Rhinolophus ferrumequinum: one gene and its partners. The protein of the gene in region 2 interacts with the protein of the main gene of each other region in a pairwise test. Links are inferred from orthologs where the notes say so. Each region holds a gene or a part of one and is shown on either strand. Other genes may lie near its edges. The genes, in order: TOR1AIP1, PPP1CC, AATK and SH3RF2.

Region 1 (7,492 bases), on a different chromosome or scaffold from region 2:
CCGCAGTTTGGACACCCCTGCTCTATACCATTTCATGTAAGGGACTCGTGCATGGGCGGATTTGGATTTTCGCAGGGGTCCTTTACCAATCTCCCATGCATACGGGGGAAGACAATAGTTGAGTTTTTCCACTGGGCTGGGGTCAGGGCCCCTAACACCACCCACCCTACCCTGTTGAAGGGCCAACTGTAAATCTGAAATTCCTGTTCCTGACCTACACCAATTCAAGACAACATAGAAGAAGCCTACACACATAAATCTCACTTGCCCTTTCCTCATTTTTTTCTCCAAAACACTCTCACACCCTATTTTACTTATTTTGATTTTTATCTGACTCCTATAGAATATAAATTCCAAGAAGGCATGGAGCGTTGTCTTTTGGTCTGTTCTTTCATTGCTGTATCCCCAGCACCTAAAACAGGGTCTGGCTAGTGCATAGCAGAGGCTCAAATATTTATTGGATTAATGATTCTTCATTTAACAGTGGTTTTTGATACATTCCCCTCTCAATCTTCCTCTTTTGGTAGAAGTCAAAAGACTTATGAACATTCTTAGATACTGTTTAGTAACTGACTGCAATTTCTAACTCAACAAAGAATAAGTGGAAGAATATTATACTGGGTTTAAATTTTCTTAATTTCAGTATAACACTTCCAGCTAGCCAGTTTCATTTATATCAACAGTCTTCAAAATATTTTGTCTATCACTCGTGAGAATGGGGAATAAATGGAACCAGCTACTATGTCTTTCATTCCCTTCCTCCTAATATTTTAATCATTATTTCCTTATTAAAAATAACATGTTGACTTCTTCCTATATTTATGTATTTTATCTGAAAAGTTTAAGTGTACTGAGAAAAGTCAGTACACTTTTTATGTCAAATTGCTGGAATTTATAAGTATGCTATTCTATTTGGAAAAGAGACATTTTTATTTTAAAATGTGAACTTCTTCCAGTCACTAATTTACAGTTACAAATAAATATAACATTCCATTTCTATATGATTTTACAGCATATAAAGAATTTTTACAAAACTTTTCATTTCTAGTTTAGACTAAAAATGTATTTAACAGAAGAAAGGAGTCTGGACATCACTTGATTAATTTCGTAAGTAAGTGCTTTTGCAAATATGAATACTACATCAATGTGGCCAATAAATGATAAATCTTATATTTGTTTAAAATGTACCAAGATAATTGTGAATCACTGTTTTAAAAATTAACTTATTTTGAATAATTTTAGATTTTCATAAAAGATGCAAAAATAAGTGATCTCATATACTACTGTACTCCTCACCCAGTTTCCCCTAATGTTGACATCTTACATTCCTATAGACTATTTGTCAAATAAGAAACCAACACGTTTGATATATTACTATTAACTGAACTCCAGACTTCATTCAGATTTCACCTGTTTTTCCACTAATCTCTTTTCTTTTCAGGGTTCAATCCAGGATACCACATGGCACCTAGCTAAATCACTTTTAAAAGTAGTAATTTCTTAAATTTCAAAGGAATGAAAAGAAGCACTTCCTTACCTGCTCTATGCCAAAATTTCATGTGTTTAATTCCAGCTGTAATTAATCAGGCATGTAGGGGTTCATCTTTACAACAATTTATTCCTCTGAAATAAATACCAAAATGTTTTAATTCTGAAAATAAATCTCTCCTATAATAATCTTTTGCCTAATCCATACTCTATCTTGATTACCCCATTACTGAATACGTGGGCCACTTGTCTCTCAGGTTTGTGCTATGTAATCATGCATTGGTATATTTATTATTTTGTCATTTTTTACTAATCTCTTCTCAACAGATTCTTAAAAGATAGGAACAGCTGAGAATTGTACTATGCCTAAGGAGTGCTATTTCTGGCATGAATGAGTTAAAGAAAAATTTTCATAATACTTCATTCTAGTTTAATATAGCCTTTCCAAATACAAAGTTCCTCTTAAACCTTTTATTTGGGCACTGTCTTTATACTGTGAAAAAAGCATTTATCTGTATTTTTAAAGTGCTTTAATATCTCACTTTAAGGAACAGGAAGTTAAATAGTTTAAGACACTTGACTATTTCCTCCTTCAAAGAAATTAGTATTTTTATTATAAATACATGCTCATTGTAGAAAATTCAGAAAATGAAAAGTGTAACAGAAAAATTTAAAAATATATAGCTTCAAAAAAATAACATTGTTGCTTTCTACTAGGATATAACCCCAAAGTGACTTGCTTATCTGAGCACACAAATATGACTACCATGTACAATGGATTGATAAATGACTCCTCAGTGTATATAACTGGATTTCTGCTTACCCTAAAAAACTCATATACAAAAATGATTTTAAAATGTTTCATTTAAAATAGCTGCTTTATTTTGAAATCTAGTGTCAAGAACACTAGATTTTTGAGACCTAGAACAGCTAGGTATATTGCCAGTCATTTAATCTGAATTATAATTGTTTGTATATGTCTCCCTAATACATGGCAAATTCCCAAGGGATAAAGAATACATTCATTTAAAAAAAATTTTTTAATAATTAAAAAAACTCATTAATTTAATCCATATATTTATTAAACACCTATTCTGTGCCAACATAGATGTTTAATAAATATGTGAATTAATGAGTGTTATAATTCTTTGTTATAATCCTTTCTTCTCTTACCCGTCTTCTCCTTTGATTCACTGAATTACTCTATATATCTCACATTCCCAGAGTAATTGTCTAACACCCAGAGCTCATGCCTCCACTTGGTATTGGTGGCCCAGCAATTCCCTTATAATAGTGGCTGTGAGTCTACTGTCTCTGCAGCGTCACCTCTTTTGGACATCCCTACAGTTTGGAAAACATTTACAGCAGAATATCTAGTTTGACTAGAGTTTAGCTTTGCCTCAGCTTTTTGTGATGCAAGTTGGTATTTGTAAAGTTGCTAGGTGTGGAAGGCAGGTATGACGGAGCTAGGATTATGTATTATTACACATGGATTGATGAGTCAATAATATGTAGAACCTCTTGTCCTTTCTCTTTTTTAATATGTCCCCCAAACCTAAGTTTACAAGTCTATATCCAAGTTTCTATATAGTCACCTGTTCTGATGTTTTAAAAAGGCTTTTAATATATGCACTAAAGTTCATAATATGAACTTTGTACTTTAATACTATAATTTTATATCTCTTAATTACATTACAGAACTTTTACTACCATATGTTAATGAGTAATATAATTAGCACCTTATAAAGCATGACTTAAAACAAATAAAACCCAGGTATTAAGCAAGTACCAGTACTTTTCAACATTTTATCAGAAAGTAAGTCCCACAAATTTTCCAAATATACTATCTAACCCAGGCTGACAAGGGAGAATATGCCTTTAGTTTTCCCTTAAAAGACTTTTTTTTTTAAAGTAGTATCTCCCTTGTCACTGTTCCTCCAGTTTCTTTGGCTATATTTTATATACCAAACAAAGCTAGACTAAACTAACAGGCTAAAACCTGATTCTCTAAAGTATGTAATTCCTTGTGTCTGTGACCAAATACTATATGGCCAAATATATTAGTGAAAACATAGTACATCTTAACATTTCATTAAATCGAAATTTGTGCCCAGTTTGAGCAAATGAGTTACTCAAAAGCATTCTAAGGTGATTTAAAATACTTGAAAGCATAAACAATTAAATACCTTCAAAATTTTCAGAATCCTTCATTTTAATTCGTATCATCACAATTTTTAAAATCTATTTACCAAAATCAATTATAAAACATCCTCCATGAAAGTGTGCAGTTGAAGATAACATTAATCTGTTTCAATAATTATTCAGACTTTTTACTAACTTAATGTCTTCCCTCAGTGTGTCTAAATTTGGTTGCCGATTATCCACATCTGTAAATACGGTATTTGGAGGTGAAACAAATAGTGCTTATTCATACTTTCTTATTCAGTAAAATAAACGCAGGAAACTGTAAATCAAATGCAGCGTATCCAGTCAGGTCCAGCATCAAAGTAAAAATAACGGACCACAGCTATAATTACAGCTGTCTTTAACCTACGAATTTGTTCATTTCCCTCTGTCCATGAACAGCACTAATAAACTTTCACAACAGTGCTACTGAAATAGAGCTTTTACACAAAAGCCAGGAATATGACGTTTGCTATGCGTGTATTTTGCAAATGGGAATCCACCCGAGTATGTCGGGAGTTGCGATTTTATACTCTCAACAGGTGACTTAAAATTTAAAACTGGGTAACTGCTTTCATAAGGAGCTTGAGACCAAAATTTTCTCTAAGAAAAGATGACACAAATGTATCTTTATCAGTCATCACTCCTGCTAGAGACATTTCCAGGCACGGCTAAGGTAGCAGGGGATCAAAAAGGTTCCAGAAAAACTGCGCAACAGCCTGGGGCTGGGGACTGAAACTTCTCCACCCCCGTCTCCCTCCGCCTTTCCAGAGACTCGGTATTGGGAGCCAGCTCCGGCGTCACCTGCGTGCGGGCAACAGTTGCCACGAGCAGCTGGGTTTAGGGCACGCAATTTGCCAAGCCAGTTGTCCCTTCTCTGTCGTCCCCTCCCTCTCCCCCAAGGCCGAGGACAGCGACGCCCTCCTCCCTCTTCTCCTCCTCTTTGGTGCCTTCAGCCAAGAGGCGGGAGTGACCCCACGAGCAGCTGACCCAGCACAGGCACTGCCTCTCCCACAGCCCTCGGACACACCATGGGCCCAGAGGCGGGATTGCAACACAGCAGCGACGACGCAGGCGGCAGCCCCGGCGACTCTCAACTGCCTCCCTGACCATTGCGACCACCGCCCATCACCCGGATAAGCCGTCGTCACCAACGGCAGGAGATTCTAGAGTCGTCAAAGCCATCTTCGCTATCGACTCAAGCTACGTCAACAACTATGGCGGGCGAGGGGCGGCGGGTGGAACGGGTGATGGTAGGATGGGGGATATACGTCACACCCAGGGCCCCCATCCGGGAGGGAAGGCGACGGCTCGCCCCTCAAAATGGCGGTAGCAGCGACGCGCCTGCGTACGGAACTCCTTCGCCGTCGCGCCACGGCCGGCGGGAAGTGAGGTTCTCCGAGGAGCCGCCAGAAGTGTACGGCGACTTCGAGCCTCGGGTGGCCAAAGAAAAGTCCCCGGTGAGAACCCGAATCCGACTAGAAGAGTTCCGGCCTGATTCTGCGAAAAAGGAAGTGAGAGAAAGCGCCTACTACCTTCGGTCTCGGCAGCGGAGGCAGCCGCGACTCCAAGAAGCCCGGGAGATGAAGACGCGAAGTGCCGCTCGCCCCCAGCAGCAGCACTCACCGCAGTCTCCGCTACAGCCGTCACCGGTTTCCACCCGGAGAGGATTACGGGACTCTCATTCCTCTGAAGGTGAGGCCAACGGAGGTAACAGCTCCAGCCGCAAGCTCAGGAGCGAGCGAGCGCGGCGAGCGGGCGGGCGGGCGCGGCGTGTGTACACGCCTCGGAGGCTGGTGGGCGTCCCCGCGGAGTTCGTCCCGGCCGGGGCTGGGGTGGCTCCCTCCCGCTGGAGGGAAAGCAGCACAGGTGGGAGGAGTGGAAAGGCAGTCAGTCGTGCGGAGCAGTGAGCAGAGTCGGGGATCTCTGCTCATCCCTGGGCATCAGTTTAGGAGTGTCAGGAGTGCCTTTCTGCGGTCCTTCACAAGGGGACGGCGAGTTAGGCGGCAGGCGGGACACCGAGTGACTCCGGGGTCGGTTTCATTTCGGTTTTCTCTGTCCTGCGGCTGTATCTACCAAAGCCACTTCCATTTCCTCCTTTGACACTCAGAGGCCAAAAGTCCCCAGCTGAGAATCAACGGTTCTGAGATGACCTTCCAGTGTTTTCCCATCACTATCCACGTGGGGAGAGAGGGAAGGAAATTTTGTGAGTGGGCGTTTTGTGGGCTAGCATAGTTGGTGAATTGACTTGAGACCCCACTCAAGTACATACACCGAAAAGGGGTAAGTCAGTTATCCCGAACTTGAAGCCCCCAATGTCTGATAAACTTGAGCACTGAACGCTCTTTCTCGACTATGATGGTCTCTGCCAAAAATTTGCCACGTTGGGGGCTCTACGTGTAACCTCAGTGGTTAAGTAGTAGCCTGACAAAGCAATACTTTTTTTTTAGTTTTCATCTACATGGGCGAAAAGGGTGCTGACAAAATGAATGTATAGTTTAGGTGAGTCACAGGTGAACCAACTCCCTTAATTCATCCTCTCCCACCTTGCACCCAACCGCGATCTAACGCTGAGTCACAAGTGAAGTTTCATGTTAGCCCCAGGTAAGGCACCTATGAGGTAAAAATCAGGGGGTTTGAATCACAGTGGGATTACATAGTTAGGTACACCATTGATGGATATGAAGAAGACACGGATTTTCAGTGTAGAGCAGCGAATAGGCTGCACGTTTACCTGCTGACACATTTGAAGATGTGCTGATTTTGGAAACTTTCTGTTAAAAATATGTAAGTTACTATAGGGTGTATTCACTCAATACAGTTTAGCCACAGATGTTAGTTTTATCGCTCTCAAGATTATAAAGTTCCTGAAAACAAAAATCCTACCAAATATATTTGAAGGACTATGTTGTACTTTAGTACTTATGTTAATTTCCTTCAATATCAGGAAAACTGTTTTGCACATATTTTTATTTAAATAAGTATATGTTAAATTGTATTGACTTGCACAGAGCCTAGTGCAGTTGTGTAAGTTAATTTTTTAACACATAAAGGGTTTATGTCTATTGTAACTATAAGGATCTAAATATTTTTCACTCTTCTGCATCATTGATGACGCTCCAGCTCATCTTTTAAATTTTCTAAAGTAATATATACTTTTGTTGTAAAGCATCAGTGATGGACAGTTTATTTTTGTCTTAAGAGTATTTCTAACTAGTTAAATTTATAAGTTTTGGTAAACCTAATTTCACATTTCTAAAGAAATGAATTACTTGCATTTTTGCTTATATGTTGCTATTAATATGCATAATCTCTTACCCAGATCAAATGTTCTGTATTTTGACATTTGTCATATTTATTCTTCAGAGGATGAACCATCTTCGCAAACTGTTTTAAGCCAAACAGTCTCAATGAAAACTACCAGGAGAGCACAAGAGACTCCAGGTAAGAAAAATGATTTAGGTTTTTTCCTTATCTGCCAACTTTAGTATACACATTATAGCCTGTTTAATCAAGGGTCCCAAATCATACCTCATTCAGAGTTTCAGTGAATGTTCTTTATAGGTGTTTATTGAATTAAGCAATGTGTCAAGAAAAGACAGGTTGCATACATGAGAACCTCGTAAGTACCACGCACTTTGTATATGTTAATTCATTCACATATGCACAATAGATACACCTGTTTTTGTTGCTGTTGTTTTTTTTTTAATTTTATTGGGGGAAAGTATGTTTCTGCAGGGCCCATCAGCTCCAAGTCATTGTCCTTCAATCTAGTTGTGGAGGGCGCAGCTCAGCTCCAAGTCCAGTCGCCGTTTTCAAT
Region 2 (7,726 bases):
AGTGAACCTCCCTTTGCCAGACTTAGTTCCAAATGGCAGTGCAATCCACCCTCCAGACACCAGGACAGCTTGCTGCTTTCCCGACCGCGGAGTGAGTCATTTTGTGAAGCTACGGAACATTTAGCAAGGCGGTAATCATCCTTATTTCTCTGTTGGGTAAGTCCAGATGGAAGTATATTTAGGGCCTTCTCAGAGAGACACACCCAACATCAACATGGACTCCATGAGGGCCAGGGATAGTTCAAGAAATTTGGAAAGGCCCATCTAAACCCCGCTCCTCGGAGAAGGCTTCTGGACACATCCCAAAGAATCTACTCTCTCTGATCATGAGGAATGGCCATGAGCACAAAGACTGGCACACAGTAAGCACTCAATAAATGCTAGCTATTGTCACCATCATTGTTCTCATTATTACTATTATCTCTCCAAGTACATTGGGAAGTTCATTCTCACAACCTTTTGAGATGAGTGATATCCCCATTTTGCAGATGAGGAAACTGAGGCTCAGAGCATGGATGTTACGTTTTTCGTCAGCCCCTCTCCCTGATCTCACAGTTCCCACTCCTGCCGACCTATAGTCCATTCTCCTTACAGACACCAAAGGGATCTTTTAAAAATGAAATCAGATCTTCTTTAGGAGAAGATGCTCTCTGGCTAATGAGGTTATATGATGTTATACGATCCAACATTTCTTTATGATTTAGGTCTTTTGAAAAATTAAGAGCAATGCCACGCTTATGTAAGACATTAACATTAAGGGGAAACTGAGTGAATGGTATATGGAAACTCTTTGTATTATCTTTGCAACTTCTCAGTAAACCTAAAATTGTTTCAAAAAATAAGCTTATTTAAAAACCAAATCAGATCACGTCACTCCTCTGCCTAACACCCTCTAGTTGTTTTCCATTAGGCTTAGAATAAAATCTGTCTTCCTGGGGCCTACAGGGCCCGGAGTGATCTGGCCTTCGCCTACTTCATCCTTCTCTCCTAACACCCTCCCCCTCACACTATACTCCAGCCACTCTAGCCTTTTCTCCATTCCCCCAGTGCTGGAATATTGTTCCTACCTCAGGTCCTTTGCACTTGCTGTTTCCTTGATGGGGGACTACTCTTCCATGATTCTCTTTCTCAATCTTCTGATTTTGACTCAAATGTCAAATCCTCAGAGTTTCTCTACTATGTGGTGACATGATCCCTTCTAATTCTCTCACAAAACTCATGATTTTCTGGAATTACCTTCTTTGACTGTTTCTCTGTTCCTGTCTGTCTCCTCCACTAGACTGGGAGTTCTATGAGAACTATGCTGATTTGTTCACTGCTATGTCCCCAGCTTCTCACACAGAGGAAGGCCTCAAGAAACATTTGCAAAAAAACAATACCAGTGTCTGCTGGTAATACCACAGGACATTGAAATAAAGCTGGGGACTCTGTCGAAGGGCTTTCACCCGTATTTTTTCCTACGGTTTCCTACTTTATACAAAACCTTCACAATATCCAAGTAGGTCCAGATTTTCTGGCAAACCTCATCAACAACATTTCTTTGAATCATTTAACAATAATAACGCTCATTAAATTGGAAGGGGAAGAGTTCACCCCCAAAATTCTAGAATAGAGTTACAAATTGTTGGCCTAGGGCCAAAAGTAGCCCACAGATGTATTTTGTCAGCCTCACACAGTGTTTTAAACGAATTGGAATTCATGACCAACTTAAAAATTGGAACATTTCACATAAAAATCCATATGCCCCAAATTCAAGTTCTCTTGAAAACTCAGAGGATCTGGCCACACCGTATCCCACAAGGCTCCAATGGAGCAGAGTTGGGAAGTGGCCACACCTTAGATGGCTCTCCAATTCATCACACACAGTTCCTACCCACCTGTGGTTTAATTCTTTCATGTTACCAGCTTGGCCCATTTAGGCACAGGGTCCTCAAAGCTTACAGTATCCTTAGAAATACTATTGGTTCAAATACTTTAGCTACACCCCCCCGCTTCAAATCTTTTGTGAAAGCTCAATGTCTAAAGCAGATAATAGTAATAATAGTTAATTTTGATAGAGTGCTTACTGTGTGCTATGGTTCTTACGTTGGTTGACTCCAGGAGTTGGGGACCAGAACCCTATTAGCTCCCCATCATCTTCAACAAGCCCCTAAAAAGCTCTGTGGATCCAAGGAAGACAGTTCGAAAAGTACATTTTTATCTACTCTCCTCATTTTACAAATAGACAAACTAGAGAGGGGAAGGGACACACCATCTATTTAGACAGTAGCTTTTCTGGCAAATGCTTGTCGGCTGGTCCTTGGGGAGGTCAGAAAAAGGCCAGTAGGGGATAAGGTTTTTCGTCCCAGAGCTGTTGGCTGTGTTCTGGGAGCTGTTCAGGCCTACTCTGTGAGCTTATGCCAGTCTCAGGCTCAGAGCCAGCTACTTCTTTTACACGCATGCCAGCAAAACTGGACTCTGGAGGGGAGTAGCCCAGCAAAGAATGGCGTGTGGACAAAGAGGCCCTCCCCATGTCCCAGTCCAGTCTGAAGTCCTTCTCCAGCCCCGACGTCAGCAGATGTTAACACACCTGCTATTTTGTATATGGAAAATTATGGCACTCTCACTGTGGGTGGAGACACACTTAGATCAGTCCATTGGGTTCCACATTTGTTATGTGCCTAGTGTGTGCCAGGGTTGTGCTGGGTGCTGGGGATTCAGTGGGGATTTATTGAATATAAGGGCTTTAGTTTCTGGCTGTCCTGAGTTCCAGCCCTGGCTCTGTAACTTACTACCTGTGTGACCTTTGGCAAACAACCTAGCCTCTCTGTCTCATTTTTTTTCACCTGTAACATGGGTGTGGTAGGAATAGCACATAATTTCTAGGATTGCCTTGGGGATTCAGTGAGATAGTTTTGGGCACATACTAAGAAGATGAGTACAGTGTTTGTTTTCTTTCTCCATTGCACTTATTAGAAGCTGATATTTTTATTTGCATCTTTGTTTATTGTCTGTCTGGCTCACTAGATGACTCTCCATAAGAGAAGGGCCTGGTCTGTCTTGTTCACTCCTGCTTCCATTCCTAGAACAATGCCTGGCACAGAGTAGGTGCTCCATAAATATGTCTGCTGAATGAATCGCTTTCATATTCCTGCTCTAATTGTCATTGCCAGGATGGCCCTGTTCTGGAGGAGCCCAGAGTCTCAACTCGTCCAGGGAGAGCCACCCTGCCCTCCACAGCCAGCTATTCACAACAGCGCTGGGCATCCACTCCGAATGTCACCAACAGGGCTCTGTGCCCTGGGCTGACAAACAACACTTGTGTGTGTTTTCTAGTGAACAGAGCCACAGCTCTGGAGAGTGCAGTTGGTGACTGGGTAATGAAACAAGTCGCTGAGCAGAGCAGGGGGTGCTCTGAACCTCAGCGCTCTGGAGACAGGAGCCGGTCCACGTGCAAGGACTGGCGCCCTGCTGTGCTTACCACCCCCACCCGCCACACACACACACACACACACACACACACACACACACACACGTCTAATCTGAGGATGGATGCCCGGATGGTGCAATCACCTCCATGGCACTTGGGGATGGGAATTCGTGCACCCTGCGTGCCTTGAAAAACAAAAGGAATTTCTCAGGGGAGGGGAAGGGCTTTGCAAACTGTAAATCGCTGCAGGAAAAAACAGAAATTAAAAGGTCAAGATCCAAGAGAGCAGATGTGTTTTCTGAGTGTGGGCTGTACATCCAAACCCAGATAAAGGAGACCCGCAAAGCCCGGAGGTGTTTGGGGGCTTCCTGTGGAGAGATGGACTTGGGGAGGCTGGGAGGCCGAGGAAAATGGGCCAAAGTTTCCTCGCGTGTCTGCAGAACCCAGGACCTGCCAACAATTCCTGCCCCTGCAAACTCGCTCTTCTATACCGGCCTCCAACTCCAACGCGCGATATCTGCAAATTCTCCCCTTAATTGCTACAAACGCTCGTTCTCCTTCGTTCTGGCTAGAATCAGGGTAACCTTTCACATGATTATATAATTTACCGAGTTCAAGAAAGATAACCCAAACATAAGGACGATGAAAAAAATTGAGGGTAGATTAAAAAATTTTTTTCGCCAAATGTAAAAGTTATGGAGCGCACACAAAACATATATACAAATACCCATATTCCCACCCCTCAGAATGAATAACTGTTAACATTTTGATTTATCTGGGAGAAGATTCTTTTTTATTATTATTAGTCACCAAATAAATCTTTCTCTTTCCCGCCAAGTCTCAGCAAATTTGAATCCAAAATAAGTCAATCTACTTCTATTATTCTCCCTCTCCACCTCCAGCCTAGGTTTATCTTAAGGAGTGAATTCCAGGACCCCCGAATTCCTTCGCTGGGCTTCCACATAGCAGGTCAGCAAACATCTGGCCCCAGTGAACAGCATCCCGCGGAGGCCTTAGTTCTAGGGCGCACAACATCTTTTCCCCCATCCTCAACTACCGCGTGTAACTTTGCAATTCACGCTCCCGCCAGGGGGCCTATTTGCTCGGCCCGTTTGGCGGAAGGATCCCACGCGCGGTCGCAGTTACGCTAAACCGTCTCCTCCCCCATTCCCGCGCTCTGGCCCCGCCCCCTTCTCGCGCCCTGTCCCCGCCCCCTCCCGTGCGCCCTATGGCCCATAAAGAAGTCCCGGCCGGGCCGCTGCACTCCCCCGCGCGCATCCGTGCGCCGCCCGAGGCTGCCTAAGGAGTCGGCGGCCATTTTGTTCTTCTCGTGGTTCCAGTGGGGAGAGAAGGAGGAAGCAGGGAGCGGGGCGGTTGGGGGGGGACCCGCAGCGGCTGCTGCCACCGCCGCCACCACTGCCGCTGTGCTCGTGGCGTGGGAAAGGAGGTGTGAGTCCCGGGCGCGAGCCGCCGGCGGCGCCGCTGCGGGAAGGTCGGCGGTGGGAAGGCGATGGCGGATATAGATAAACTCAACATCGACAGCATCATCCAACGGCTGCTGGAAGGTGAAGGGGGCGGCGGGTGGGCTGAGGGGAGGTGGGTGGCCTCGAGGGCTCGCGGTGGGGGGAGTTGGGAGGCCGGTTGGGCTTGCACAGCGGAGGGGAATGAGCCCGCGAGTTGGCCCGCGGGCTGGGGGCTTCTGCCGGAGGAAGGCCGGCCTGGGTCCGCACTTGGCCCAACCCGCGGACTCTCCCGGCTCCACTCATTCATTGCACTCGAGTGCAGCCTTCTTCCTGGTCGTGGAAATTTGAAAACTCTGCTCCCCACCCCCACGTTTCCGGTCGTACCCCCTTGCACCCCATAAACCGGACCAATCTTTGGAGGAGAGAAGGTTAGGGACCCCAGTCCAACCTGCAGGACGGCGTGTTCCGTAATTTCTGGTACTCGTCCTCTCCGATAAAGCGATTTGATGGGATGTGGGTTCCACCGGGTTGAAGGGCTTCTATCCTGTCTTGCTCATTTTTATTTTCCCTGGAGCTAGGGTCTGGGGGCTCATTTCTTGTTACTTAGTGACCAGCCTTCACCTCTCAAGGGAATGTTGGAACCCATCTTCTCCTGCGCTCCCAAATACTCTTTTCAAGTCGTCTTTTATCTTGAGGTCTCCGCGCTCTTTTCTGAACGTGAAACCAAGGATGATGACAGTTTCGTTATGATCTTTCCTATGTGCCAGGCTCTGTAAAGCGCTTTGCGTTCGTCTAATAAATTACAATCATGATAGCCAGCGCTTACTATGTGTCTGGATTTTTTTTGTTTTTGAGCACTTTACACAGATTCATTTATTCTGCCACCAGTTTCTGCGAGGTAGGTCCTATTGTTTTTTCCGGTTTTTCAGAAGAAACTAAGACACAGAAGTGAAGTCACTTGACCAAGGTTACACAATTAGTGACAGATTTCAAATCCAGGGAGCTAGGACGCTATGTGTGAAGGAAGGAGGTGTCCAGTGGTTAAGCGAAGGTTAAAATAAAGCTTTGGCTTTGGCTGACCTAAGACTCGTGAGATGCATTGCAATTGATTCGTATTGATGTGGGAGACGGAAGAAGTTAGGATCTTAAAGAGGGACGCTGGAGTGAACTCCCTCCTCCGCCTCCGGTTCCCAGAGCCCGTCTACTTTGGGAGATTTCAAATCCCTTTATTTGGGCACGGGATAATGTAGATTTGGCTGAGTTTTAACTTCTTTAATGCCTTTACATTATCCTCCTAGAATATTGTTGGACTATAAATACTGTGAGATGGAGTTAACAGCATGATGAACATGGAGTTAGAATTTTCAGATCTTTTGAATTAAGTCATTAAAATGAAATTCCTGAAAATATGTTTTCTTAATCTGTGCGGGGTATTTTCCTTTTATATGTTATTAAAAGAAAAGGAAAAAACCTACTGAATGGACCCCTGAAAAGCTCTTGAAATGCCATTCCCATTTGTGGGTGAAGACCTTATCATTCATTCAGTACCTGCATTTATTATAAGAACCATGCTTTTCATACTAGTTAATGCCGTTCTTTGATTTATATGATGCAGCAGTGGTCCAGAAACAATTGAACCAGTTTGCAATAAGAAAGGAACTTTTTATTAAAATTTTCATTTAAAATTTTGAAGTTCTGCACTTCTCTGCAGGGATGTATGGCTAGATTGGGGGGGGGGGGCTTTATTTCACTGAGGAAACAGGAAAATGTGAAATCTATGGATTAGAAACAAAATTTAAGATCAGTTAAGTCTCGTTAACTTAAGTTTTGGTTTGCCCATAATTCTATTCACATAACAGATTTTGTAAATTTTAGTCTTATTTTTTAAATTGTGCTAAGAAATTTGCCTTGGTAAACTTGGATCATTTAAAATGAAATCAGTCATTGTTTCTTAATAGTTTCTCTCTGTTGTTATATTGTACTTAAAAACCAGATTTAAAAATTTTTTTTGTTAAAATTAATATAGAGTAGTATGTTTTAGTGCCTTGGGAAAAGGCCAGCTGCACAGTATACTTATATTCCTTTTTTTATTTCTCATCGATGTTAAGTTGGCAGAGAAATGGTGATGATCTATTGAATATACATATACACACATGTATACTGTGTTTTCCCGAAAATACGACCTAGCCAGACAGTCAGCTCTAATGCGTCTTTTGAAACAAAAATTAATATAAGACCTGGTCTTATCAGGTCATAATATGATAAGATATAATATACTGGCGTCTTATATTAATTTTTGCTCCAAACGACGCATTAGAGCTGATTGTCCGGCTGGGTCTTGTTTTTGGGGAAACACGGTATGTATAGATTCAAGTTAGAAGATGTTTATAATACATTTTGTGATTTTTGTAATTTTCCAAAAACCCTGTTCCCCAAAAATTTTAATTAAGATTTAAATATATCTGAAAATGGAGGCAGTGTGATTTTGGGGGACCTTGTTAGAATTTTTACATGTTCAGAATTGCCTCATCTTTTAAGCTAGTTGAAAAGTAGCTCGTTGATAGTACTGAAAAGGCAACTCAAAAGTGAAGTCTTTAAGAAAAACAACATGTTGATTTAGATCTTAGTCACCGGCTTTGCAGTTCTTTTTTTTTTGCACTTTCAGTAGTTTTTCCTTAAGCTAAGTATCACTTGTGCAACCCACCTTAGAAGCTCTTATCCAAGTTTTGCCTCGTTGATGATAAAACTTTATAAGGTTATTTCTCTTTTTATAACGAATGTTTGATTGTTTAAATAACTGCATGGTAAAACTTGGATTTAAGAGAGAAAATAAGCTAGCTGCTGATTTGGTCTC
Region 3 (7,190 bases), on a different chromosome or scaffold from region 2:
GAGTACAAGGGGCACCTGCCCCCTCCCCCAGCCCCAGCAGCAGCAGCAAAGGGGTGGGCTGGGGGGCAGGTATAGGGATGTGAGTAGGGGGAGCCGGCTGGGTGATGAGTTCTGGCGGGGAGGGGCATCCTGGAGCCCTGTGATGCCCACTGCGGTACCCAGCAGGTGGGTTTGTGGGCTGGAGCTGGGGCAGCAATGATGATGTGACTTATTATTATAGGAGGGACTCCAGAGGTGCTGACCCTGTCCCCATGGCCCTGTCCCGTGGCTTTCCCCTCTGCAGTAGGGGAAATGATGCCCCCCAAAAGATATGTCCATGTCCTAACCACCCCCACGGGTACCTGTGAATGGGACCTTGTTGGGAAATGGGTCTTTGCAGATGTGACCAAGATGAGGTCACACTGGCTTAGGGAGGCCGCAAGTCCACTGACTGTTCCTTACAAGAGGCTACCATGGAGGAGGAGCCAGGGGACAACGGAGGTCCCAGGCAGCCGCTGTGTTCCTGCTCCCGCCTTGATTCAAAAGCGTGATGTTTTGTGTTCATCCCAGATTTTCCTCATTAATTTTGACTCTAAGATATTGCAGTAAAATATTAGTTGCCTTAATGCCTAAGTTTGTTTTTGACAGCTTTATTGAAATATAATTCACGTATGTAGCATAGAATTCACAACTTTGGACTGCACAAGTGAGTGTTTTTAACAGCTTATTCACAGGGGCTACTTGCAGAGTTCCATCACCCCCAACAGAGGCCCTGTACCCCTTAAGAGTCACTCCCGGTTCCTCTGTCCCCGGGCCTCTGACAGCCGCCAATCCACTTTCCGTCTGTGCGCTGGGGGAGTCTCGGGACCCACATAAGTGGGATCATACCTTTGTGTCCGGCTCATTTCACTGAGCGTCATGTTTTCGAGGTTCATGCGGGTTGTAGCATGTCAGCACCTCACTCCTTTTTATGGATCAATAACATGCCATCATGTGTATCCGTTCACCTGTAACATGCCATGGCGTGTATCCATTCATCTGCTGATATGATTGCTGAGTTTTTGTGCCTTTGGTGTCTCACTCACCTCACCTGTGTCCAGTGTGGCCCCCACCCCACCCCACATGCTCCTGAACGTGGGAGGCCTCTCCCCTCATCCCACTAATGCCTCAGGCTTTCCTGGGTCTCCTCTAGGCCCAGCCCTCTGCAGACACTGCTCCGGCTAGGCCTGGCCCCCTCAGGTCAGCTCCTTCCAGGGAGGATGCTCGCCCTGCACGGTCCCTGGCGTGGGGCAGGCAAGACTTGTCCTTACCACTGTCAGCCACAGTGCCCCTGTCACCCCCGTACACTCAGCCTAAGGCTCCTGCCAGTCAGCTTGGTCCTCGTGGGCCCAGGTACACTCCTTGTCCTGTGGTACAGGAGTCAGGAAGCGGCGTCCCTGCCAGCCTGGCTTTTGTGCTTGAAAGCACATCGTGATCTGCCAGTACCCCTGGGGCAGTGGTCACCCTGGTCACCCAGGTATTGGTACCCTGCCCTCACTACTGTGAGGCCTGGCCCCTGCTTGAGCTGTGGAGGGCTCTGTGGTGCCCTGCCTGCCCCCAGGTGGTGGGAGGGCACGTCTTTAGGGACCTCTTGCCATCCTGAGATCAGCAGAAGCCAGCATGGTAGGGCCCCCAAGGTGGACTGGCTACTGGTCACCCCCAGACTTGCAGGTCCCCTCCTGCCCACCCTCACCCTTGCATGCCCTGTTCATTGGGACCTATCCCTCTCCTTGCCCCTGTCCCAACACTGTCCAGGAGGCCCAGGGCACGAAGCATGAGGTTTTGCCACTGGGACTCAGGTCCTCTGCTCTTTCTCAGAGGCGAGGACACTGGCCCTCAGGCTCCAAGGCCCAGGAGAGTGTCAGGCAGACCCGCTTGCAGGAGGCCAGCCCCCAGCCTCTCAGCTCTGCCTTCCCCAGGGCCGCAGGGCTCTGTCCTGCCCATTCGCCCTTGTCACACCATCTGGGGGCCTTGGGGGACCTGGAAGGACAGCAATTCTGGTCCCCATCTCCAGGTAGCAGGCTGACAGACCCTCCCTGTAAATTCCAGTGCCAGCCTCCCTGCACGACTCCGTAGAGAGCAGTGAGGGTGTGGTCGCTGGCCACACATGGGAAGTACTGGTTGAAGGGACAGATCAATGGTGGTGACGGGGGACTCGGAGCACCTCCAGTTCAACAGTCACCAGGCCAAGGGAGCAGCAGGACTCTCGTTCTGGTGACATCTCAGAGGACCCTGATGTATGGGGCAGAACTGGCATCTGGTCAAGTGGGATGAGAGTGTTGGCCCTGGAGCCAGAGGGTCTTCCCCTCCCCCACCCGGACCCCAGAGGAGGACCTGTAACCCTAAAGTCCCCGAGATCTGGCCCTTCCATGTGCCAGTATATGCTGACGTGCATGGGTTCACGGGCAAACCCAGGTCATGGAGAGCCGTCTTCCGACTCTGATTACTGAGGCCAGCCATGGTGGTGCAGAGGTTCTGGATAGAGGCAATTTAGGCCACTGGTCACCCCTGCCTGTCCCCAAGGAACCTCCAGGTGTCTGGGTCCCCTTCCCGAGTGGGTAGAGGCAGGGCCATCCCGATGGGAGTTGTGCAGTCTTGGGCTTGCCTCCTTGGTGGGAAGGGGAGGCCTCCAAATAGGACCCAGCCCCCCACACTGGGTGTAGTCCTGGATCGCAGCCCTCAGCCATCAACGCCACCAGTGGCCTCTGCCCCTCCTGGCTCTGGGATCTGAGCACGTCTTACAGGCCAGGCCCTCCACCAGCCACTACACCTGTAGCTCCTTCCTCCTCCACCCGCCTGTGGGGCAGAACGACTCAGAGCAGTAGCCACACAATCAGGGCCATTAAGAAGGTTCTGGACAACGGTCCCTCTCCTCAGGCCTGAGGTGGCATGGGGCCTCCCACACCAGGGAACCCCTAATGTCTGAGGGAAAGGGGGGCCCCACAGGAGCCACCCTAGAATAAGAAGGGAACATCCTGTCACCTTCTACCAAGGACTGACTGGTCCTCACCACCCTTTCTGTGTCCCTGCCCGGCCCCCTGCCAGTAACATTGATCCTTGTTCTCCCCAAGGCCCGCGGGGCCCTGCTGAGGGTAGGTGCCCCCTCCTCCTGCTCCTACCCCCCCTTCCAGCTGGGCCCTGCCAAGGGGCTTTGCTCATCTGGCCAGAGAATGAATGGGTGGATGGATGGATGAGTGGCTCAGTTGCAGAAAACTTAAATCTCGGCTACACTGTAATCCTCCGGGTTCCCACGGTGTGGGGAGGGGCTGGGTCCCCAGACCCCTGCCGCCGCGCCCCCACCTGTCCTGCTGTGCTCTCCACCACCGCGTCGGTGCAAGATGGCGCGGCACGGCGCGCGGCGGCGGGAGGGGACAGTCCCTAGGTGCCCGGCGCCGCCTCGCCCGCCCTAAACGCCCGGTGCTGATCACACCAGGCGGGGGAGGCCGCTCCTTCTATACGGTTGTCGCAGCGTGGCACGGGCGTGCTCGGTGTGCAAAAACAGCCCTCCGCACGCTAGCGCGGGCGCCGCCCAAAGGGCGCGGGGGCCGGACCCCACGCTGCCTCAGAACCTGCGTGTGCAGGCCGCGTGCCGGCCCGACCCCGTGAGCGTGGGCCCGGGCGCGTCCCCGGCCACCCTGCGCGCGCTTTCGTATTCTGAGTGCCACGGTGCCCACCCCCGCGTTTGCTGCCGTGTCCCCGTGCCCCCCCGCGCCTCCTACCCCCTCCCCATCCTGCGTCTCAGTGTCCCACTCCCCGCGCCTCCGCGCCCTCCAGCCTGCAGGTCCCCCTTCCTCACGTTTTCGCGCCCCCCAAGCCTCCGCGCCCCCAGTCTCTGTGCCCCTCAGCCTCCCGTCTCCCCTCCGCGCGTCTCCGTGCCCCCCCAGCCTGCCGGTCCCCCTTCCGCGCGTCTCCGTGCCCCCCCAGCCCGGGAGGGAGCCACCCCCGCGCGCGCTCCCGCCAGTGTTTTCGGACTGCACCAGCCCGGGAGCCCGGCGGCGCCGCGGCCAGCCGGGCGGAGGCGCCTCGTCTGTCGCCGCCGCCCGCACCCACACCGCACTCGCACCCCGCTGGCCCCGCAGCCTGCCAGCCCCGCGGCTTCGTCTGTGGGCGCTCGGCCGGCGCGGCGGGCAGGGCGCGCTCCGCACCTGCGGCGGCCGCCGGGCGATGGCTCGGCGCAGGCCGGGGCCGCGGGCGTCTTGAGCGCAGCGCCGCCCCGGGTGCCCGCGAGCTGCTGGCCCTGGCCATGTCGTCGTCCTTCTTCAACCCCAGCTTCGCCTTCAGCTCGCACTTCGACCCGGGTGAGTCCTCTCGCCGCGCTCCGCCGCCAGCCTGCTGCCTGCTGCGCTGCCCCGCGTCCCCCACTGCGGACATGATGCTTCCTGAGCCGCCGGTTCCTATTTTGCATGGAAATTAACCCCTTCCCCACCCACAGAAGGACTGGCTCTCCGTCGGGACCCCCTAGAGGCCTGGGGCCGGTGAAGGTGGACAGGCCTGGGGGCCGGTACCCAGCACAGCTGAGGCCTCCAGCAGTGTGGGTGGGCAGCAGAGGTGCGCCCCCCACCCCTGTGTCTCTGTAGACGTTTCTGGTACAGATAACTGGGGCAGGAGGGCCTGTATTTGCCCCAGGTGTCCAGGTGAGAAGGTTGCCAGGACTGAGGGCCCTGGGGGAGGTGAGGGAGTGCCCCCACCCCTGCCCCTGGAGCCCAAGCCCCCTTGGCCCCATGCTGGCCCTCTGTCTTAGCATGGGAGACTCCTTCCCAGGCAAGGGGCTGGGGCTGGGAGCCAGCAGCCTGCGTGCAGAGGTGGGAGCAGTGGCCGCCCTCGGACACAGCCCACCGGGCAGAGGCTCTAAAGAGATGGGTCTTAGTGAGGCCTCAGAGAGCAAGGGAGGCCGGGGCTGCACGGCTGCTGGAGTCCTGGGGTCAGGCCTCTTACCCCAAGTGGGTGGCCCTGTCAGCGTGTTTGCCCATGGCTGCCTGGCCCCCTGGGGTGGGCAGAGGGGCCCCGGGATAGCTGGAGACCTGCATCTTCCTTGTGCCTTCAGCGGCTCTGGCCCCCCTTCCCCAAGTGGGAGATTAAACCCCTGCCCTGGAGCCATGGCCCAGGGGCCCAAGGTCCACCTACATGTCACTGAGGCTCCAGCACAGGCTAATCCAGCCCAAACAAAGCTGGGCACGCACGTGACGAGCTCTCCTGGGTCCCCTCCCTGGAGCAGGGCCCAGTGCGTGCAGTGATGCACAGGGTCCCCTGGGCACAGCCCCATCTGAAGGCATTTGCTCCTGCGAGAGTGGAGCTGGCAGCAGGGCTGTCTGCTGGGCGTAGAGTGTGGGTGTCCCTCTCTCAGAAATGACTTCCCAGGCGTCTCCCAGGGCTTGGAGAACATGATGTCACCCCTGAGGGCTCGGAATCCAGGCCGAAGCCCTGGCTGGGCCCTGAGGGCAGGGGGTGGAGGTGGCCCTGCTGAGCAGCCCAGGCCCAGACAACCTTTAGGGTCCTGAGTCCTGTGCTTCCGGCAGTGTGTCTGCCGGGAGGAGGGGGTCCGGCTCAGGCCTCCTGGCGTTGGAACTGTTGGCAGTGTGGGTGCCAGGATGGGGGAGGCCCTCTCCACACCCTGCCTCTTGCATGCTCTGTGGGGCCCAGACTTGCCCTGTGTGGGATTGTTACCCCCTTTCTACACCTGGGTGCACTGGGGCACGAGCCCCTGCCCCCACCTCAGAGAAACAGCGCAGCTTTGCCTTGTGTTTGTGTAAACAGCTATGATCAGTGTAATTATAATGTCAGTTTAATGACTTTCAGAGAAAAGTTGTCAGGAGACAAGGGGTGGCCTCCACTGTGCGGGTCAGTGAGGGGGAGACCTGTGTCCACTGCAGGAGGGGACGTCCTGGATGGTGGTACTGGGTAATGGGCTGGGGTGCAGGGCTCGTTTGGCCTCCATGTGAGCATTTGGGAGGAGGAGAGATGGGGTCCCCTGCCCTGCTGCTAGACATCCAGCTTTCAGAGCCTGGCACCCACCCCCTGGAGTCCCACAGCCCAATCTTATCTTCCTGAGCCTCAGTTTTCTCATCTGTAAAAGGGGCTAGTGACCTCTATCCCTCCAGGCCCGGGTGGGGGTTAGGTGCCTGGTGAAAACTTGATGTTCAGTAAACAGAGACTGCTATTTTGGGGGTTGGGGAGGTGCGTGGAGATAAGGCCAGTGTCTTTATGGCTTTTCTCTATCCCTGAAGTGGAGCGAGATGGCACTTTTCAGGTCTGCTAATGTCTGTGGGGGGACCCAGCTGGGGGTCCACCAAACTCGGAGGGCAGGGGATGCTCGTGTTCCTGGCCATCTGAGTTTGTTTCTGTGGTGCTCAACAGTCGGGGGGCAGAGGGGCTAGGCCCGGGCCTGGGCAGAGGGTCCTCCCAACGTCGCCAGGCAGGCCTGCTGCCATGTCGGCTCTCCATCCGTCGTGGAGTTCCGTGGCTGTCCCCACAGAGAGGGCGCGGCGGAGTAGGTGTATCGCAGGAAGCAGACTGAGTTTGAGGCTCTGGTCCTAGGTGCACCCTTGAGCGCGGCCTGGGAGCTGGGGGGTGGGGGCATAGGCCGGACTGCCTGCTCCTGGAGTGATGTGGCCAGTGCAGGAGGGCATCCAGAGGGCTGTCTGCTCTGGGGCCCAGCTCTTCCCCAGGACGTGGGTGACTGGGGATTTCCTAGCAGTCTCAGCCCCGTGACCTCAGTGCTGTGTGGCCTTGGGCCAGTCACTCAACTTCTCTGAGACTCAGTCCTGCTAGGTGAAACCTCATTCTGGGGAGACCAGGTAGGTGGGGCTGAGGGCTGTCGAGGGTGCCACGTATGGTCAGGAGCAGCCGGGCTGGCGGGTGTGGCCTTGAGGGAGCGTGGTGGCTTCTCCCGCTGGAGTGCTTTGAGGCAGGGCGCTGACCTTGTTTCTCACCCGTCCAGTCTCAGGCCTACCAGGTGCCCGGCGGGTGGCTGTGGTCTCTGGGCAGGAGGCTGCTGGCCAGGAGCAGGTGTGAGGACACCATCCCCCTCCAGCTTCTCCCTAAGGACCCCCTGGTTGCAGGTGGTGGATCAGCCCCGCCCTGACCCTGTGGCTCTTGCCATGCCTCAGTTTCTTAATCTGTAAGGTGGGAATTACTGTGGTGCCCGCCCACTTCTCAAGGTCATGTGAGGGTTA
Region 4 (7,849 bases), on a different chromosome or scaffold from region 2:
CCCCCATCCTGCCTTTTCCAGGCCTGTGAGTTCTGACTGCTGGCTGGACCTAGGACTAATGGGAAATCTTAAAGAAGAGTGTCAAGCCCTTTTCTGGAATGTGTTCACACATACAAGCACAATGGCAGTAAAAAGCAATGAAGAACCCGCACCAACGCCCCGCTTCTTCCCGCTCTCATGTTTGATTGGTTCCACACTCCCGTCCCGCATGGGCGGCTTGAAGGTGCAGTGAACCAAAGGAGGAGTGAACTGTTGGAAGGAATATTTTAGAAAATCGTTCGGAACACACATCACAAGCCCATTCTCCTTCGCTGGGAAGGACTCCAGAAGATGCTCCCACCCACTGCTACTCTTCACAGCCCCAAGTCCTGGAATGCTGCTGCCTGTTTTAAAGCTCGCAATAGGTAACACTGCACAGAATGCAGCTTTGACTTTCTAAGTATGCCAACGGGTCAGGACACAGCTTGCCATGTTCAGGCTGGCACACTGACTCCTGGGGTGACAGTGCAAATAATCCTGCTGGACTCACAGGACCATGTCCTTCTCTCGAGACGTGCCCTTACACAGCTTCCTGCAACAAGGCTGATGGCGACTCACGTTGTCCAAACACCAAACACATCACTGGGTGATACCTTATATGGCCCTGCTGGGCCCGTTCGGTTTTTAATTGCAGCCGCTGATGTGCATGTGATGTGTGTTTTATTCGTTTTGTAAAGTAAGACATATCTGCGGGGCCCCTGTTCACATCTATGCTTCACAGCCCAGCCATTCCTATTCATCAGTCCACCCACACACACACCTCCCTCCTGTACCCTACTTGGGCGTCAAGTACCTTGATAGCTTTGAATAGATTATGAATGAACATTGTCATAATAGCACTTTATGACGGGGACCAGGGTGGAAACATGGATCTGGGTAAAATTCAAACAAAACCTGACATTTGGAAACTTCTCCAAGATTCCCCAAAGCCACATGCATGTGAGTTTGTTTTCTCTCTGTTTCCCCTCCGTCCTCTGCATTTTTCTGTGCACTGGATTAGCCTCAGAACAGAAGCGAAAGACCAAAAATAAAATCAAGAAGGCTTTCCTTGTCCTACTAACTTCTGGACAAGAAGCAAGAAGAACCTGGGACGCTTTCATGATTCTAAAAGAATTCCTGGAATGAGCAGGTAGCCTCAGGATTCCACCAAATTTCAGTAAAATGGTCGCCGCCCACAGAAACTGATCTCTGAGGAATCCTTGGCAGCACCTGTTTGAAACCTAACTGAAAGTGATAACCCCTCACTCCCGGCATACACAAATCCAACCTCCAAGGGGGACACAATACGAACAAATAAGATCTTTCTTACCCCATCCATGTGGATTCTGATATTCGGCACGAGCCGGAAAGGGCTGGACTGCAGGCCTCTGGGGTTAGTCCTGCTTTTCCTGCTGTCCTGTGAGGTCAGCACACCAGGCTTGCGGACGGAGACCCCTCTCCCTGAGCTCTGCCCGGAGCGCACACCATCCAGCAGGCGCACGAGCAGTAGGTTGGCCGGCAGCGCCTCGATACTGCAAAACACCGGGGTCCTGCACTCGGGGCACCTCAGCTCCTTGTGGGCCTTGAAAATCCTCTGGAGACATGGTTTGCAGAAGGTGTGCTGGCAAGGGAGGACCTTGGCTGTGACATCGAGTTTTTCAAAGCACACGGGGCACGCCAGAAGATCAAGTAACGTCAAATCATCCATCTTATTTTAAAACTCCAATCCTGAGCAGCAGGGGCAGAGTCCACATTGTAGGGTTAGCTAAGCCAGGGGGGCAGAGCCGGTCTCTTGAGAGCGTCAAAATTCCTGCCTGTTTGAAGGAGAAAGGATGAGAGGAGAAAAAAATGTGACTGCTCTGAGAGCTATACCCCACCTACATGGAGGCAGTGTCTCATAAGGCAGTTTGCAAGTACTTTGTTCCAGCACCCAAGTTTCAGATGACTCATTCTGATTCAGTGCTTGCAGGTATAAGACCCAACTCCTGCCTGCTGCAGGATCCGAGGGAGCCTTCAACGGTGACTGACTACTTACTTACTCATTGCTTTTCTGTGTGGAAGGCAAGAACAGGGAGACAGAATTAGCCTGTCTTCCAGCCAGGGCTCGAGGAGGGTCCTTTACCACCCAAGACGGTTTCAATTCTCAAATTAAAGCTCCCTCAGGATGCAGTTTCTGTGAAGCCAGCTATGATCTACCTACCCCTGTTTCCCTAGGTTTCAGTTTCTCTATCACCCGCACCACATGCAGACAAGTCAAGTGTACATGGGTAAGTTTCTCGGAATCTCATGCCGATGTAGAACTATTTCCTTGCCACTGCGTCTTTCCTCCATCATTTTGTTCTAGCAATGTACAAGAAAAACTTCTACTAGAAACTCATTTTCAGTGACAGACAATAGCCTCAGAGACAATATTCCTCCCACAAGAAAAAGTCATGCAGCCTGTTTAGCTACTTTGACAATTGTTCTCAGTTTCAACAGAAGCAGATAGGAATTCTGGATTGTGATCACAGCCTGCAGAAACCAAGATGGAGCAGCATACACAGGTGTGTGGGGGTGGGGGTGGGTGGGGGTGTGTGTGTGTGTGTGGGGAGGGGCGCTTGTTCCAGAAAGTTTCCTTTTGGATGTCTGAAAAGAAGAAGTCTCCAGTTTAGAAAAGTCTCCTGGGAATAGGTCCTGGGTCCCTCACAAGGGCCAACGCTTGAGTGAACGCAGCCACCAGCTCCCACCCCCCCCCCAAAAGTTCAGCAGGACGGCGGGTGGCCCCACTAGGAAGCAGAGCAGACTGGGCACACGAGGATGAGAGATGGTGCCTTGCCTTCCTGACACAACTCCCCAAAGATGTCAGCTCTGAGGAACTGTGCGGGGACCACTGACCTTGAGCTTGTAACCTCTGCTGAGTTCAGCTCAGCAGGATCCACGGCTCTGCCAGGCTCCCTCCAACTTGCTTCCTTTTCCCCAGGAGCCACGCTGCCTGCCTGGCTGCCTGCCGCAGCTTGGAAAACTTTAACAACTCCGAGTCTTACTCCTTTCAAGGGATCGCCTTACCCAGCCCTGTTAACTCTTTCACCGCCGGGCGGCCAGCAGCAGGTTTTCCTTGAGTTCACTCTGCTACTGAGCCCTCCTTTATGTAACAGATTATAAGGGGCAAAACACGTGAGCCCTTACGGCCAAGTATTTATAGTTTATATTTGCACCTTTTTCATTTTCTCTCTCGTCCAAGAAGTCGAAACCCGCTCAGTTATAAACATACGAAGGTGACTGTTTATTTTTAACCTATATGAGGATTTCCTGAAAAGGTAGGTACAATAACAAAGATAAGCAGGCCACCTAAAAAGTATTACTCCTTAAAAATCAGAGTCAATTTAGGGATTTGAGGGGAACTTCAGTGATCTTTTGGTTCAATCTCTTTAAATTTAAAAAATAGTGGCACGTCCAAAACAAAATGACAATAGTACATACACATCCTTGAAAAAATGAAAGCACAGAAGGGAATTTAAAAAGAGGAAAAGCAATGGTCCCAGCTCTCCCCCGGCCCCCTACCCACCGGAGAATTTTTTCACAGCCCCAAATAATGCTTATCCTTTTATTTCTTGATTTATCAATAGCATATTTCATGTAAAGTAACCAAGGTACTTAATAAAGTAAATAATAATAATATTACTTAACACCACAGTAGCCCTTATCCGTGCCGAGCACTGTTCTAAACTCTTTACCTCTATTAACTCATTTAATCCTTTTAGCAACTCAATGATACAAAGGAGGAAATGGAGACACAGAGAGGTTACATAAATCACTCATCCCAGGAGTCACAGCTAGCAATAGGCAGGTGGTCTGTACTCTTAAGTACCATGTCATGTGATGATACAGCTTTAAGGGGGAGGAGAGATGGTAGGGAGCTAAACCTCTTCTGGGATGGCAGGAAGTCAAAAGATAATGACCCAAATTGACCAATCAACTTCTTTTGCAGATGAGGCAGCTGTGCCCGGTGAGATGGAGAGACTCCTTGACGTTGCCCAGTGAGGTAAGGGCAGAACTGGGACTAGAAACCGGGCGTTCCTGCATCTTCTCTCTCCACCTAAGGATGGCACTTCTGTATAATGCAGAAAGCCCTTAGATACCACTGCTTGGGCAAATATTCAGAGGGGAAAAAACGGCCTGAGAACTGAGGATGGTGGTTTATATGTTTTTCGAAGTTCTTCCATGTCAGCTCTGAAAAAGCAAACACGCGTGAAGCTCAAAACAGTGAAGAGAATCAGGATGGAGCAAAGTCAATTGTCGTCTGAGCACAGAAGTCTAATTTGGAGAAGTGTCCACTTCAGAGACCATTTTCAACTCTTTTTTTTTTTTCAGTCTCCCCTTTATGGAGGGTAGTTTGAGCTTCAACAACATCGCATCCCATTCTATTGTCGGTCTCCAATTATTTCCACTTTTATAGATTCTGTGCCCATCAGGAAGCTCCTTGTAATTTGAGGCCCTTTGCGGTGCCTTACTCTGTTTCCCACTTGGTAAAGCTGAGCTCTCTCCTTTGTGAGCTGCCCTGCGGTCCTCTCAGCCTCTAGAAAGGTCTGCTCCAGGGCCCAACTCTTGCTGCAGGGCTGGGGAACATGCTTCCTCCTTCCCTCTTGTTCTTAAACACACTCTATCTCCCTTAGGTGCCCAAATCTGCACTTAAGGCACATGCACACACATGCTTGCATGAGGACACACAGGTGATCTTAACAGTAACATTTACAGAGCACTTGCTGTATGCCATGGACCAGGGCCAAGATTCTAAACAGATTTTCTCATTGAATCCCGCCTGCCATAAGGTAGGCGCTGTCACTTTCCTAGGCTTACAAGGCTTGTGATCTGAACCCAGGTTGGCCCAGTACCAGGGCCTGTGTTCCTTACTGTTATTGCTCCCTGTTATAAAGTTATGTGCGTGTCCTAAGTATACCCATATACTTGGCTGTGTAAATCCGCACACATTTATACATAGTATCCATATTGTACACACCAGCTGTATCCCAGGGCCTGCTCAAAACAAAATGATGAAGTCAAAGGAGCCCACTCTCTGTAACCTGCCCAGGCTCATGGTGTCCTCCATGCTCCTGTAGGGCCAGGGGTCTCAAAAACCTTCGAATCCTCCCATCCCCGAGAAAACAAAATAAAACCCAGCTCTGTCCTAGGAAGGCAGGATAGATCCAGTGGGCTGCTCCGTACTAGCTTATTTGGCAATCGAAGGTTCAGCAGAATAGAATTGTGATGGTAGCTTCTTAGGCACCAGTGGAGAACAGAGAAAGTTTACATTGAACAGGAGTGGTCTTTTCGCATTTCTCAAATCACACCCTATAGGTGGTCCCCAATACCAGCCACATCAGAGGTTAATTTTCACTGAAACTTGGGGAGAAATTTTCTTTTGAAGCTTTTGAAGAAGGGGGAGAATTTTAAGCAGGGATTTTACCTTGGCTTACCCAAGTGCTACCCTTGGCATCAAATCAGATGAACATCTAGTCCTCAAAAACAAACAGAAAAGGTGACCTATGCACACCGTCCCAGACTCCAGGCTCAGGCCACCCCCTCCACGGCTCCCACCTCATCAACACTCCTGTTTATATTTGTACTGTTATGTAGTGATTATAGATTGTACTCTTTTGTAAATACCTGTGTGACATTTATGAGCTTCTGCTGCTTGTATTTACAAGTATATCTTGATTTATGTAAAAAAAAAAAAAAAGGCAAATCTGATCGCCTCGTTCCCCTGTTCAAAACCCTTCAGTAGGTTCCCACTGACTGTAGGATTAAAATCAAAGCCTTGTTCTCCCGTCAGGCCTGACATCATCTGGCTCCTGCTCACCTTTCCTGCCTCAACTTACCCCCATGTCTCCCCCGCACTCACCCACTCCAGTCCCACTGGCTTTCTCTCTTTACTCAGGACAGTTTAAGTTTTTCTGCCAGAGGGCATTTGTTCATGCTCTTCTTTCCGTCTGCAACACACTTTCTAGTTACACTTTTCCTCTTCTTCTCTTCTGTTCTTGCCCCCTTTGCTTTCTTTACCCCCTCCACAGCAAGTTTTAGCTCGCATGCCACTTCCCCAGGGAAGCCCTCCTTGAATCTCATGACTGGAAAGTTTACCCTACCCTTCTCCTTCATAACAGTTGTGATAATTATAGTTCAACAATTACGTAATAATTTATTTAATGCCTGATCCCCCCAAAGACTGTAAGCTCTAAGAGAGCAAGGCACTTATGTGTCTGGTCACTGCTTTACCCCTCATATGTAACACAGTGACTGGCATGCAGTTGATGCTTAATGAATGGTTTTGAATGGATTTATGAATGAATGGTGTTCTTCAAAAATTGTGTCTGGGCAGTTGTACATCAAACTGTTGATAATGGTTTTATACTGGACAGTGCTTGGGTGCCACTCTGAATGTTCTCGGCCCCATCTCTTACTCAGGCTAAGAAGTTTTACCCCATTCAGGTCCCTGCCATGCACCTCTTGCCTCCTGCCCTAGAGCTGTTCTATGATGTCATCTGGGACACCAATGAGAATCTGCTCCACACCCAAGTGTGGACCACATTTAGTGGGTAATAAATGCTTCCCTTTTCAGCATTTGGAGCAGATGGTCCTGAGATTTCCTAAGGTTCTTCAGAAGGTTCTGTGGGACGAATACCACTTTTCCACTGGGTGGCTAATGCAATAATGCATCCTTGTGTTTTCTCTCCCTCATTCCCTGTAGCACTTCTCCATCCCTAACCCCTGATCCCAAATAAATTACCCTGAAGCAAGCAGGCCTTTGTCTCAGGCTAAGATAGTTTTGTGAAAATTTGAAATTAAATCACAAAACCAATGTACAGACAATTTTTGTCAATCATATGTACTTATTTATTGGAGTTATAATTTTAGAGGTATGCTATTTTTCACTCGACTGGCTCTTTGCCATAAAGTTAATAATTTGTAAAACAATCCATAAATCCACCAAAGGAGTCCAGGTAGCTGGAAAGCTGAAGCATTTTAACTGCAGGGGTCATGAAGACTCTCTTAGCCATCATTGGACTCTTGCTGCCTTTTTCCCTCAGTACCTAGTAGAAATTTGGATATATGTTTTAAATATTTAAATGGATCTATAGGATCTGTTTCATGATGCTGAATTTCCCCCCATGTTTTGGTTTTCTAGTGATACCGGGAAACGTTTGGAACCATTCAAGGAGAGGAAGGATTAGAGGAAAGTGGGCACCTTTCCAATAGTGGAAATGTGAAGGAAAGAGGAATGGCAGGGGTTGAAGGTCTATAAAACAATGTCTTTCTTTGTTTGTAGGCCTGCAATGAAATCAACTGTGAGAGTTCCTCTTCAATCAGAAGGGTGTTTGCAGGTAAGCCGTGAACTTTAGGGTATTCCTATGCAGTCATCAGACCTACAGGAAAGTGACCCAAACTGCTGGCATGGAAAAAGAGTCATCCCACATTTTCTAGAGATGACTTATGGTCCTTAAGTTTAGTGAGAAACAGTATGAACCAGCAGTCAAGAGCATGGTTTTGGAGTCTAACAGACCTGGAATCTAACAGCTCTGCCAGTTACTAAAGAGATCACTTGGGCGAATTACTCATTCTTCTGTCCCTTGGATTCTTCATGTATAAAATGAGGTTACTACTAGGACCTACCCCATTGGGTTGTGCTGAGGAGTCAATGAAATGATGCATACAGTAAGTGCTTAATAGATGTAGGGTTCTTCTCATCTTCCTTCTTTTTTGGGTAGGCAGATGCCATCAGAGGACCAAGAGCCAGATGGTTCTTACTCTAACTCAAACTCAACCCAAAGAAGAACACGCCCAGCCATGGAGTCCATTA

Evidence for each region.
Region 1: the proteins of PPP1CC (region 2) and TOR1AIP1 interact in binary tests that used the Homo sapiens proteins (3 or more experiments, as listed by UniProt). The link is inferred for Rhinolophus ferrumequinum from reciprocal best matches to the Homo sapiens genes PPP1CC and TOR1AIP1.
Region 3: the proteins of PPP1CC (region 2) and AATK interact in binary tests that used the Homo sapiens proteins (3 or more experiments, as listed by UniProt). The link is inferred for Rhinolophus ferrumequinum from reciprocal best matches to the Homo sapiens genes PPP1CC and AATK.
Region 4: the proteins of PPP1CC (region 2) and SH3RF2 interact in a two-hybrid assay, tested with the Homo sapiens proteins (2 studies listed by BioGRID and IntAct). The link is inferred for Rhinolophus ferrumequinum from reciprocal best matches to the Homo sapiens genes PPP1CC and SH3RF2.

What each region holds. Positions count from the first base shown.
Region 1 is NC_046305.1:12,610,140-12,617,631, forward strand, and holds the start of TOR1AIP1 (torsin-1A-interacting protein 1), read left to right. Parts: upstream 1-4,480; 5' UTR 4,481-4,889; coding exon 4,890-5,367; intron 5,368-7,038; coding exon 7,039-7,116; intron 7,117-7,492. UniProt on the Homo sapiens protein: Required for nuclear membrane integrity. Induces TOR1A and TOR1B ATPase activity and is required for their location on the nuclear membrane. Binds to A- and B-type lamins. Possible role in membrane attachment and assembly of the nuclear lamina.
Region 2 is NC_046308.1:6,336,637-6,344,362, reverse strand, and holds the start of PPP1CC (serine/threonine-protein phosphatase PP1-gamma catalytic subunit), read left to right. Parts: upstream 1-4,725; 5' UTR 4,726-4,919; coding exon 4,920-4,974; intron 4,975-7,726. UniProt on the Homo sapiens protein: Protein phosphatase that associates with over 200 regulatory proteins to form highly specific holoenzymes which dephosphorylate hundreds of biological targets.
Region 3 is NC_046304.1:54,201,846-54,209,035, reverse strand, and holds the start of AATK (serine/threonine-protein kinase LMTK1), read left to right. Parts: upstream 1-4,173; 5' UTR 4,174-4,261; coding exon 4,262-4,316; intron 4,317-7,190. UniProt on the Homo sapiens protein: May be involved in neuronal differentiation.
Region 4 is NC_046307.1:19,167,354-19,175,202, reverse strand, and holds the start of SH3RF2 (E3 ubiquitin-protein ligase SH3RF2), read right to left. Parts: upstream 3,008-7,849; 5' UTR 2,893-3,007; intron 1,833-2,892; 5' UTR 1,727-1,832; coding exon 1,349-1,726; intron 1-1,348. UniProt on the Homo sapiens protein: Has E3 ubiquitin-protein ligase activity. Acts as an anti-apoptotic regulator of the JNK pathway by ubiquitinating and promoting the degradation of SH3RF1, a scaffold protein that is required for pro-apoptotic JNK activation.